Linked DNA regions of Sus scrofa. The protein of the gene in region 1 purifies or fractionates together with the protein of each later gene. This does not show direct contact. Links are inferred from orthologs where the notes say so. Each region holds a gene or a part of one and is shown on either strand. Other genes may lie near its edges. The genes, in order: TOP2A, SRPK1 and SMARCA4.

Region 1 (3,651 bases):
ATCTGGCATTGCTATGGCTGTGGCGTAGGCTAGCAGCTGTAGCTCCGATTAGACCCCTAGCCTAGGAACCTTCATATGCTGCGAGTGCAGCCCTAAAAAGACAGAAAAGCCAAAAAAAAATATATATATATAGAGAGAGAGAGTAGAATGTTTTCAGTAATCATATTCCAGAGAAAGGAGGCATATATTTTAGAAAACTGAGATTTTGTTGTTTATTAGTTAATTTCTTATAGAAGAAATAACTTGGAACCTGTCTACCAGTGACATCTTTTTCATCTTCTAATTTGCAGGCCTTTAGCAAAAAACAGATAGATGATCGAAAGGAATGGTTAACGCATTTCATGGAAGATAGACGGCAACGAAAGTTACTTGGCCTTCCTGAGGTACAAAAAAATTTTTTAATATAGCCCACGAAATGTACTATTTATTGACCTTTTAGAATTGACAGAGCAAATTAAAATTAATAGTTATTTCACTAGAAATGTTAATAATAGATAACTGTATATCCTTATTTAGACACCTGCATAAATGTGTTAAACCTGAAAGAAACTAGAAAGTTAATGCATTTTTTTTCTAATTGTGCAGCAGTTAAATTCGCTTTGTCTTTAAAACATATAAAATACTTTTCATAAATCTTTATTTTTGAGGGATTTAAGAATTATCATGGAGAGAGTTCCCATTGTGGCTCAGTGGAAATGAATCTAACTAGCATCCATGAGGATGCAAGTTCGATCCCTGGCCTTGCTCAGTGGGTTAAGGATCCAGTGTTGCCATGGGCTGTGGTGTGAGTCACAGATGTGGCTCGGATCTGGCATTGCTGCGGCTGTGGTGTAGGCCAGCAGCTCTGATTCAACCCCTAGCCTGGGAACCTCCATATGCTGCGGCTGCAGCCCTAAAAAGACAAAAAGACCAAAAAAAGAAAATTTTTTTTTCATGGAAATAACAGTGCTAAGGAATGCCTTTGTTTTATTTTTGTCTTAATCGTTGTTATGACCAGTGATATTTTTTATTTTTAACTAGATCATGTAACACTCTTTGGTTTCTCAGGATTACTTGTATGGGCAAACTACCACATATCTGACATACAATGACTTCATAAACAAGGAACTTATCCTGTTCTCAAATTCTGATAATGAGAGATCTATCCCATCCATGGTGGATGGTGAGTTTCAATTTATTGGTCTATTTTTATTATAACATGGAAATCAATGCCCAGAAATGGTTAAATTGAGGATATTAATATTTACACTTCTTTCGTTTTGAAGGTTTGAAACCGGGACAGAGAAAAGTTTTGTTTACATGTTTCAAACGAAATGACAAGCGAGAAGTGAAGGTGGCCCAGTTAGCTGGGTCAGTAGCTGAGATGTCCTCTTATCATCATGGTGAGGTAAATACATAATCCATAATGTTTCCAGAAAGCATTATAGCAGAAATACCTGCAAAGTCAGTCTCCAAACAGTTGGTGAAAATATAAGCTGGTATATCCATAGTGGAGAGCAATTTGGTGAAAACTATCAAACTGTAAAATGTGCTTATTTTTTGACCTTACAAATCTATTTATAAAAATAATATAAGGATACTATAATCAAAAGACATGCAAGGATCTATATTCAAAAGTGTTTAATAATGTTTGCTGTAACTTTGTTATGCCACAATTTAGACATGAAAAATGTCCATCAATTGGAACATTACTATAAATTGTGACACATCTATACATGGGATCAGATTTACTTAAGTAAATCTATGTGTGCTAACACTGAAGAATGTCCACGTTCTATTGTCAGGTGAGGGAATAAAGGAGGCAGAATAATACTTGAAGGATGTGCTCCAAATTGTTAACTTTGGTTATCCCTAGGAATTGGAAAGGGCAACTTTCCAGTTTTTCATATATGTCTGAATTGATTTTGTACAAACATACATATTGGTTTTGTTTTTGTTTGTTTGTTTACTTGCTTTTCCAGGGCCGTGCCTGTGGCACACGGAAGTCTGTGGGTTAGGGGTCGACTCAGAGCTGCAGCTGCCGGCCTGCACCACAGCTCACAGTAGCGCCGGAGACTTAACCCACTGGGCAAAGCCAAAGATCAAACCCACATTCTCACGGATACTAGTGGTGTTTGTTACCACTGAACCACAATGGGAACTCCTACATATTCATTTTTTAATTTTGTGATTGAAGTTGCTTTTTTTGCATTGATGTAAAACAATTTTAAAGAATTAGGTTGCCTGTAAGTTTCTAGAACTTTAAAGGTAATGATTGCCTTGCTTGTTGCTTTCAATCAAAATATAGCAGCTAGGAGTTCCTGCTATGGCACAATGGTATTGGTGGTGTCTTGGGACACAGGTTCGGTCCCCAGCCTAGCACAGTGGGTTAAGGAATCCAGCATTGCCACAGCTGCGACTTAGGTTGCAAGTGTGGCTTGAATCTGATCCCTGGCCCAGGAACTCTATATGCCGTGGGGTAGCTAAAAAAGAAAAAAATTAAAAATATATACATGGGCTACTCAGTAAATGTTCACACAGTAAACATTTGTTGAATGCTTACCATCTACCAAGTGTACAAAGATAAATCATATGTTTGCTACCTTTAAGGAGTTAAAATCACAGTTTAACCATATGACTATCTCTTTCTCTCTCTCTCTCTCTCACACATACAAAATGGTAGAATAGAGTGATACATGCTAGAATAGAAATGAGCAAAATGTTTTAACACAAAGAAGGAAATATTTCATTCTGCTGAGGGTGAAGAGAAGAGCTATGCCTTTAAGGTTGAGTCAGATGATAAAAACCATGTAAGGCAAGAGCCCAGAGCTTGGAGACAGAAGTCTTGGGTTTAGATACTACTTCTGTTATGTTTTCATATGTAAAAAGCCAATAAAGATCTACATTTCATAAAATCTTACAGGAGTATAGTGAGGCATAGTCATAATCAGACAGTTATTATTAAAAGCCTACAGATAAGATTAATGAATCTTTTTTCCCCCCCAGATGTCACTTATGATGACCATTATCAATTTGGCTCAGAATTTTGTGGGTAGCAATAATCTGAACCTCTTACAGCCCATTGGTCAGTTTGGTACCAGGTTGCATGGTGGCAAGGATTCTGCTAGTCCTCGATACATCTTCACAATGCTCAGGTGGGTATGCTTCCAATTTTCAGTGAATTGCCATTTCCAATTTTGAAGTATTATGACATTTAGTTGACCAAAAATTTTTAAATTCAGTTAATCAGAAAATATGTCTTTGTTGCAGATGCTCGGATATTAATTTTTTTTTGTCTTTTTTTGGTCTTTTTTTTGCTATTTCTTGGGCCGCTCCCACGGCATATGGAGGTTCCCAGGCTAGGGGTCGAGTCGGAGCTGTAGCTGCTGGCCTACGCCAGAGCCACAGCAACGCGGGATCCGAGCCGCGTCTGCAACCTACACCACAGCTCACGGCAACGCCGGATCGTTAACCCACTGAGCAAGCACAGGGACCAAACCCGCAACCTCATGGTTCCTAGTTGGATTCGTTAACCACTGCGCCATGACAGGAACTCCCGGATATTAATTTTTTTAAATGAATTTATTAAAGTTTAATATGCTACTCTTTTCAATGAGCAGAAAGTCAAAATTCCATTTCAGTTTGATAGCTTGAACTTTGTGTCTCTTAGAA
Region 2 (3,651 bases), on another chromosome or scaffold:
CCACATCCTCATGGACACTGTGTTGGGTTCTTAACCCCCTGAGCCACAACAGGAACTCAGGCATAAACAGGGGGGTTTTTTTTTTTTTGTTTGGTTGATTGGGGTTTTTTTTGTTTTTCTGTTATTGTTTTTGCATTTTTAGGGCTGCACCCATAGCGTATGGAGGTTCCTAGGCTAGGTGTCAAATCAGAGGTACAGCTGCTGGCCTGCACAACAGCCACAGCAACACAGGATCTGGACCTTGTCTGCAACCTACACCACAGCTTATGGCAACACTGGATCCTTAACCCACTGAGCGAGGCCAGGGATGGAACCTGCAACCTCATGGTTCCTAGTTGGATTCGTTTCCACTGTGCCACAGCAGGAATTCCCAGCATAAACAGTTTTAATGCTTTTCTCTAAGTACAGGAATTAGTATTCCCTTTTAGTAATTAAAACTTTGTTTTATATTAAATCTGTTTCTATTCCTTTTCTCCTTAAATATGGTAGTGCATATTTACCTTAGAAATTTCAAAAATGTATTCAACAAAAAGAAAATAAAGGCTATCTGTAGTGCTGTCATCCAGAAGTAACCAGCGATAAGATTGGATATACAGACTTGGAAAACACTTGCTTTTTCATTATTTTTTTCTTAAAGTGTTGATTGCTAACATATGTTAACTGGAATTAACAGATACTTAAACTGTTTTAGAAGATTACCTGATATGTTTCCTTATGAAACTTTCCAGTATTCTTGGGTAGCTCTTAAAACAGAGTGTATATTACCATCGAGGAGAACCTGGTTGTTCTTAGCAGCAGAGATGTTAAAATCCCTTGATTCCTGCCACTGTTGGCAGCCTCTTTAGGCCTTCCTGGTTTTTTTCTGTTGTATTATGTGTTTTAGAAAAGCAGTTCCTTTTTTTATTTTAAGTTAAGTAAATAGAACTCATTAATTTCTCTCCTAAAATATATCCCGAGGGAGTTCCCTGGTGGTCTTGTGGTTAGGGCTCTGTTTTCACCTCTGTGGCCTGGGTTCAATCCCTGGTCTGGGAACTGAGATCCCACATCAAGTTGCAGCATGCTGCAGCCAAAAAATTTTTTTTTTAATTCTGAGACTACAACCGTAAATGGATTTTATAGTTTAGATAAATCTGTTGAATTATTGAGGGGCAAGAATGGTGTGATACATAACCTTACTCTTGTTTGGGGCTGACTTTATTTTTTTAGGTAACTAAAGCATCACTTGCTCACTCTTATTAATCATTACTCTTATTCTCTAAGATACTTTTTTGTAGCATGAGCTCAACACTAGTGTGTGGCTGACTTAAAATTGTCCTTTGTTGAATTGACTGTATTAGAAGAAACCAATTTGGGAGTTCCTATTGTGGCTCAGAATCTGACATAGTGTCAGTGAGGATGCAGGTTCCATCCTTGCCCTCTATCAGTGGGTTAAGGATCTGGTGTGGCTATGGCTGTGGCATAGGCACAATTTCGTAGGCCTTAGCTGCAGCTCCTATTCAGCCCCTAGCCTAGAAACTTCCATATGCCCAGGTGTGGCCCCCCCAAAAAAATGTATTTGATAAAAGGTGTATTGATGTTGAAAAATGGGTTGTAAGATATCCTTTCTTACGTAAAGTGACTGTTTTCTTCCTGTTGTTCTTCCAGGAGGCTACCATCTTGTGAAAATCGGAGATCTATTCAATGGGAGATATCATGTGATCCGAAAATTGGGCTGGGGACACTTTTCAACAGTATGGTTATCATGGGATATTCAGTAAGTTTTAATGGTCCTGCAAGTGAATTAGGTCGTTTTTAAATGTTTTGCCTGGTTTTCCACCTTCAGGCTAACTCTAGACTAATTTCTTAATCAGAATCTTAACTGTTGATAATCTTTATGTTCTTGGCCAAATGACTTCACTCTGAAGCACCTTAGAGAAACAAGATTGATTAAATTAGTATCAGTAAGGTGCTTGAAGCTCCCAAATTCGAAGTATGGGATGTAACCTTTCAGTTTTTCTCACAGGAAGGAGTAGAGTAAAATTTTTTTATTGTGTCCTTTAGTTTCACCTATGTGAAATTATTTTTGTGTGTGTGGTTTCTTTTGCTGACAGATTTGCTCAGCCATACAATCTAAAACCTCTCTATGTAAAAACCGCAGGCAGTTAACATTGGGTGTTTACCTAAAAGTATCTTTGATGAGACAGCAATTGCTGTCTGTGCACTTAGGTTATAAACAGTTTTTCACCCATGTATTCTGGCTTCTTAGAGGAAAGTGTTAATAGCATTTAACCTTTTCTTTTTTTGTTTTGTTTGTTCTCTTTTTTAATCATTTATATATATATATTTTTTTCTACTGTACAGCATGGTGACCCAGTTACATATACATGTATGCATTCTTTTTTCTTACATTAAGTGTTCCATCATAACCTTTTCCCTTTACCCTGGATACTTTTAGTTTGATGGAGTTTTCCCTTTTATCTCTATTTCATGGTTTTACTTTGATTCACAGAGACATTCGGAGGGGTAGATTTTAACTTAGAGAAAATGTTTGGTGTCTGACATTATCCTAGAACAGATTTTTTTTCTTTTTGTAAGTTAAATTTGGCCAGTTAGTGCCGCTAACAGATATAGACAGCCCCATTGAAGTAGAAGTTTGTATCTGAGCACAGGACAAAATGAAATCAACATTTGTAGTTTTGTCACCATTTCCCAGTTACAGTTAAATCTTAGCTTCCTAAGTAGGGGTAGGACATTTAGTCTTAATTGCCTGTGTTTGTTTCTTAGGGGGAAGAAATTTGTGGCAATGAAAGTCGTTAAAAGTGCTGAACATTATACTGAAACAGCACTCGATGAAATCCGGTTGCTAAAATCCGTAAGTATTTGATTATGAGCTGCAAAGTTTTATTAAAAAAGCATTGTCTTTTCAGTTGAGACACACCAAGTGTATACTCTTGCATGGCTGGTATTTACTGTAAAGCTCCAATATCCTTAAAAGAAGACAGTATTTGTTTTAAAATGTAGTAAAAATATGTAAGATAAAAATAAGCACTGTATTCTCTTTAGTATCTGGAGACTTTGGTAAAATGTATCAAAAACTTATTTTCGATTTTGTTATAAATTAGGAAATGTCAGTGTAGCGAAAGGAGCTTAAACTCAAAGTTAGAAAACATGAGTTTTAGGACCATCACTCTCCCAGTATGTCCTCATCATTACTCATTTCTTCTGAGCCTTGGATTTTTCATTTATTAAGTGAGGCTGTTGAACCAGGAGAGGTCCTGGGAAGTACTTTTCAGAGTGCTAGTCTGTGACAAAATAAGGAGCTCAGGCCCAAAAGTAAATCAGTGAACTGCTTCCTTCCCTGAGAAAGTTTTTCTGTGAAAAAAATGAAGGCTGAATAAACAATGTGGTTAGTTGCTTTAGTTGACTTGCATCCTACAAAAGGAATTATTTCTTTTTTTTTTTTTTTTTTTTTTTTTCTTTTTGTCTTTTGTTGTTGTTGTTGTTGCTATTTCTTGGGCCGTTCCCGCGGCATTTGGAGGTTCCCAGGCTATTGGTTGAATCGGAGCTGTAGCCACCGGCCTACGCCAGAGCCACAGCAACTCGGGATCCGAGCCGCGTCTGCAGCCTACACCACAGCTCATGGCAACGCCGGATCGTTAACCCACTGAGCAA
Region 3 (3,651 bases), on another chromosome or scaffold:
CCACCCTGTGGGGGTGCCAGAGCTTCACTTCCCAAGCTCCTTGCACTGCCTGTTTCTCCATTATGACTTGTTCAGGGCTAGCCTCCCTTGGTAAATAAATATTGGCTCCATCAGAGGAGGGGGCTGTGCCTTGTGCACCATAAACTCCCCAGATGCACCAGGAAAGCTTTGCCAAATGACCGTCTCCAGAGTGCATCTCCAGCTGTGCTGTGCCCTGGAGCTCCAGCCCCTATACCCAGGCACCTCCCCATCTGGACGGCTTAAAGATGGCCTGTCCAGATGGTGGTACACCCACCCACTTTCCCCTCCTGTCTCTGTTCCCATGCACCTACCATCCTGTAGCTGAGTGGACCGTGGCCCCCGTGGCCCCTTGACCCTTGCTTGCCCTTCCTCATCCCTGATGTCCGCTTGGTGAACCCTTTCAGCTTCCTTACCCCCAGCGCCTTTCACCTTGCTGTCTGGTCTATGCCTCCTCCCTGCTCTCATCCTTACCTGTGTACTGTTTCCCATACAGGTTTTTTGAAGTCTCTTTTTACAGTTAGCAACCCTGGAGGGTGCTATGAAGGGTCTCCCCACTTCACACCTAAGGACACTGAGGCTCAGGGGCTAAGTAGATTCCCAGGGCTGGGATGGAGACACTGGCTGCCTGATTCCAGAGCCTGGCTCCCACTGCTGAAATGGCAGAAGCCTGCTGCGCCCTGTCAGGTTTCCTGTTTGCCGTGGCTCCCGAGACCTCTGCAGCTGCTGTCCTGTGTGTAGTCTGTGTTGTGTGGCCTCCTTTTCTTAGCCATGTCCTGTCTTGTGACCAGTAGCAGCCTCCTTCAAGGGTTGGATTCTTCTGAGGTTCTGGCTTTAAAGAAAAGGAAGAGGTGTGTTCCTTATAAACAAGTGAGACCTCCCATCACCTGCTCTTCTTTCTATCTTTGCACTCTAGGCTGCAGGCTCGCATCGCACACCGAATTCAGGAACTTGAAAACCTTCCCGGGTCCCTGGCCGGGGATTTGCGAACCAAAGCGACCATTGAGCTCAAGGCCCTCAGGCTCCTGAACTTCCAGAGGCAGGTGGGCGCAGGCGCAGCTGATGCTTTAGGAAAAGAGCCCTTTCTGTCAATGTTACTGCTTCAGGTCTTTAAATGCACCCTGACCATTAAAAGCCTCAGTGCTCACCCACATTCATTAGGTCACTGTCCCCCCCCTTCCTCTGCACATCCTGCCCAGTGGAGGAACTGCTCAGTGAAGGCACAGGCTGAATAGACGTGGGTCTTCCTTAAGGCGGCAGTGACCAGCTTGAAGCAGGGAACTTAGATGGGTCTATTGCTGAGGGTCCTTTCCTTTTGAACAACCAATAAGAAATTTTGTTTGATTGTGGTTGAGGGAGGGTAGAACTGGAGACCTGAGGTGTGAGAGTGTTCTCTGCCGGGTGTCCAGAAGCAGCCATCTCCCAACCCGAGGGCCTCACCATGTGTCCTCCCCGTGCACACATTTGTGCTCATGGGTCCTTCTGGGAGCGGGAGCCTTCTGCCCAGCTTGCCATGTGGAATTGTGCATGTCATTCAGATGTCGCGGAGTTGTACCCGTTACCAGTTTCTCCTCTTCCTTCCTGAAGCTGCGGCAGGAGGTGGTAGTGTGCATGCGGAGGGACACAGCCCTCGAGACGGCCCTCAATGCCAAGGCCTACAAGCGTAGCAAGCGGCAGTCCCTGCGCGAGGCCCGCATCACCGAGAAGCTGGAGAAGCAGCAAAAGATTGAGCAGGAGCGAAAGCGCCGGCAGAAGCACCAGGTAGGTCCCTGCAGCTGCGCGTTAGCCTGCCCACATGTCCAGGGTGTCAGCTTGTAAGCTGCTGAGCCTTGGTTTATCTGTCAACACACTGTCTGTGTCTCTTTTCCGTTTGTTATGTCAGTATTCTGAGCATTAAAAATACATCAGGGGACAAAGCCAAATAGTAGAATCAGATGCGTGTATAACATGTTGGAAGTTAATAGGGTGTAAGGAAGCATGAAGTGAGGCTAGAGCGTGATGGAGGATGGTCCGTCTGGGAGGTCCTCCCTGAGCAGGTGAGCTCTGAGGCCCAAGGGAGGGAGCCACCAGATGTGTGTGTTTCCAGATAGAGGGGAAGGTGCAAAGGCCCTGGGGCTGGTTGTGTCCCACTGCTCTGTGAAAAGCAAGGATCCAGTGTAGTCAGTGGAGTGAGCAAGGAGGCGAGCAGGAGGTGGGGAGAAGGGGGAGGTGATGGGCAGAGCATGCAAGGCTTCCATGGGGCGAGGGGATGACTTGGGCTTTCACTCTGAATGAGATGAGAGCCCTGGAGGGTCCTAAGCAGAGGGAGTGATCTGGCAGAGGTTGTTACAACATCAGTAAAGGAAACCAGAATCTCTCCTCAAATAGGATTTGGGTTGATTTTGTTGATATATGTTTTATGAAGTTTTCTCCTATCAGTATCTATTACTGATACGGTTTATGATAACAAAAAAGTCAGTGCTCAGTGTTAGCCTCTGTTAACATTTTGGTATATATCATTCCAATCTTCTTTTTTCTTACATATAGTAATCACAAGTTAAGCAGCCACTTTTTAAAACAACATACACATGTTGACCTGTTTAGAGTATTGTTGAAGCATGATTTTAGTGTCTACATTGTAGTCCTTCTCAGTATGTCCAGCATCCAGTAATTTATGAAACCATTTCCTACTGGGGGACATGCAGTATATTTTCAGCTTTTCAATATTAAAAATAACATTGGGATAGACTTTCTTATACTTGAATTTGGGGGCCAGTCTCTGCTCTTTTCCTTGAAATAAATCCCTAGCAGTGGAGTGATTTGGCTGGCAGGCAGTTGTGTTTGGAAGCACTTGGCAGACAGTGCCAGGTGGTCCCAGCCCAGTGGAAGCCCTGTGGACTACCCCATCTACTGTGCACGAGGGAAGGCCCTTCACGCCACAGGCCGGCATGGAGTTTTATCCCGACGCAGAGAATGCTGGACTTCATGGGCATAGGGTCGATGTGTTGTTTAGATTGTGCCCTCTGGGTTTTCACCAAGCTACCTTTGATGTTCGATGCAGCGACTCCTGTCCTGTAGTCAGTCTGCTCTATTGTGTGCTTCCTACAGGAATACCTCAACAGCATTCTTCAGCATGCCAAGGATTTCAAAGAATATCACAGATCAGTCACAGGCAAAATCCAGAAACTCACAAAGGCGGTGGCCACTTACCACGCCAACACAGAGCGGGAACAGAAGAAGGAAAACGAAAGAATCGAGAAGGAGAGAATGCGGAGGCTCATGGTACAATTGGCCTTTGTGACCCGGGTTCCTTTGTGTGTGTGTCTCTCTCTCACAAGCATGGGGATTGACTGCCCAGGATTTCGCTGGGGTATTTTGCTGCTCAGAGTTAGAAGTGGGACAGAGGAAGAGAGGGCTTGGGTTTGGGAGTCCGAAGGACCTGTCACCAGACCTTTGCCGGGCCACTCCAGCCGTCAGTGACCACAGGTTTGCTGGATGCTCTGTGCTCTCTGGAAATTGGAGGTGGCAGCCCCTTCTGATGGAAGAGCCACCGAAGGTGTGAGGCCGACCTCCCGCCCACCCTTGCTGTCTGACCATGAGCCCTCGAGGGCTCTCTAATCAGGGAGATGGTGACAGACACTGCTGTGTGTCTGG

What was found.
Region 2: the proteins of TOP2A (region 1) and SRPK1 fractionate together in Homo sapiens (co-fractionation; 3 studies listed by BioGRID and IntAct, with this or other methods). This does not show direct contact. The link is inferred for Sus scrofa from reciprocal best matches to the Homo sapiens genes TOP2A and SRPK1.
Region 3: the proteins of TOP2A (region 1) and SMARCA4 purify together in Homo sapiens (affinity purification with western blotting; 3 studies listed by BioGRID and IntAct, with this or other methods). This does not show direct contact. The link is inferred for Sus scrofa from reciprocal best matches to the Homo sapiens genes TOP2A and SMARCA4.

The regions. Positions count from the first base shown.
Region 1 is NC_010454.4:22,011,294-22,014,944, forward strand, and holds part of TOP2A (DNA topoisomerase 2-alpha), read left to right. Parts: intron 1-290; coding exon 291-383; intron 384-1,047; coding exon 1,048-1,162; intron 1,163-1,265; coding exon 1,266-1,387; intron 1,388-2,985; coding exon 2,986-3,134; intron 3,135-3,651. UniProt on the Homo sapiens protein: Key decatenating enzyme that alters DNA topology by binding to two double-stranded DNA molecules, generating a double-stranded break in one of the strands, passing the intact strand through the broken strand, and religating the broken strand.
Region 2 is NC_010449.5:31,677,176-31,680,826, reverse strand, and holds part of SRPK1 (SRSF protein kinase 1), read left to right. Parts: intron 1-1,644; coding exon 1,645-1,753; intron 1,754-2,763; coding exon 2,764-2,851; intron 2,852-3,651. UniProt on the Homo sapiens protein: Serine/arginine-rich protein-specific kinase which specifically phosphorylates its substrates at serine residues located in regions rich in arginine/serine dipeptides, known as RS domains and is involved in the phosphorylation of SR splicing factors and the regulation of splicing.
Region 3 is NC_010444.4:69,737,659-69,741,309, forward strand, and holds part of SMARCA4 (transcription activator BRG1), read left to right. Parts: intron 1-934; coding exon 935-1,061; intron 1,062-1,605; coding exon 1,606-1,779; intron 1,780-3,105; coding exon 3,106-3,279; intron 3,280-3,651. UniProt on the Homo sapiens protein: ATPase involved in transcriptional activation and repression of select genes by chromatin remodeling (alteration of DNA-nucleosome topology).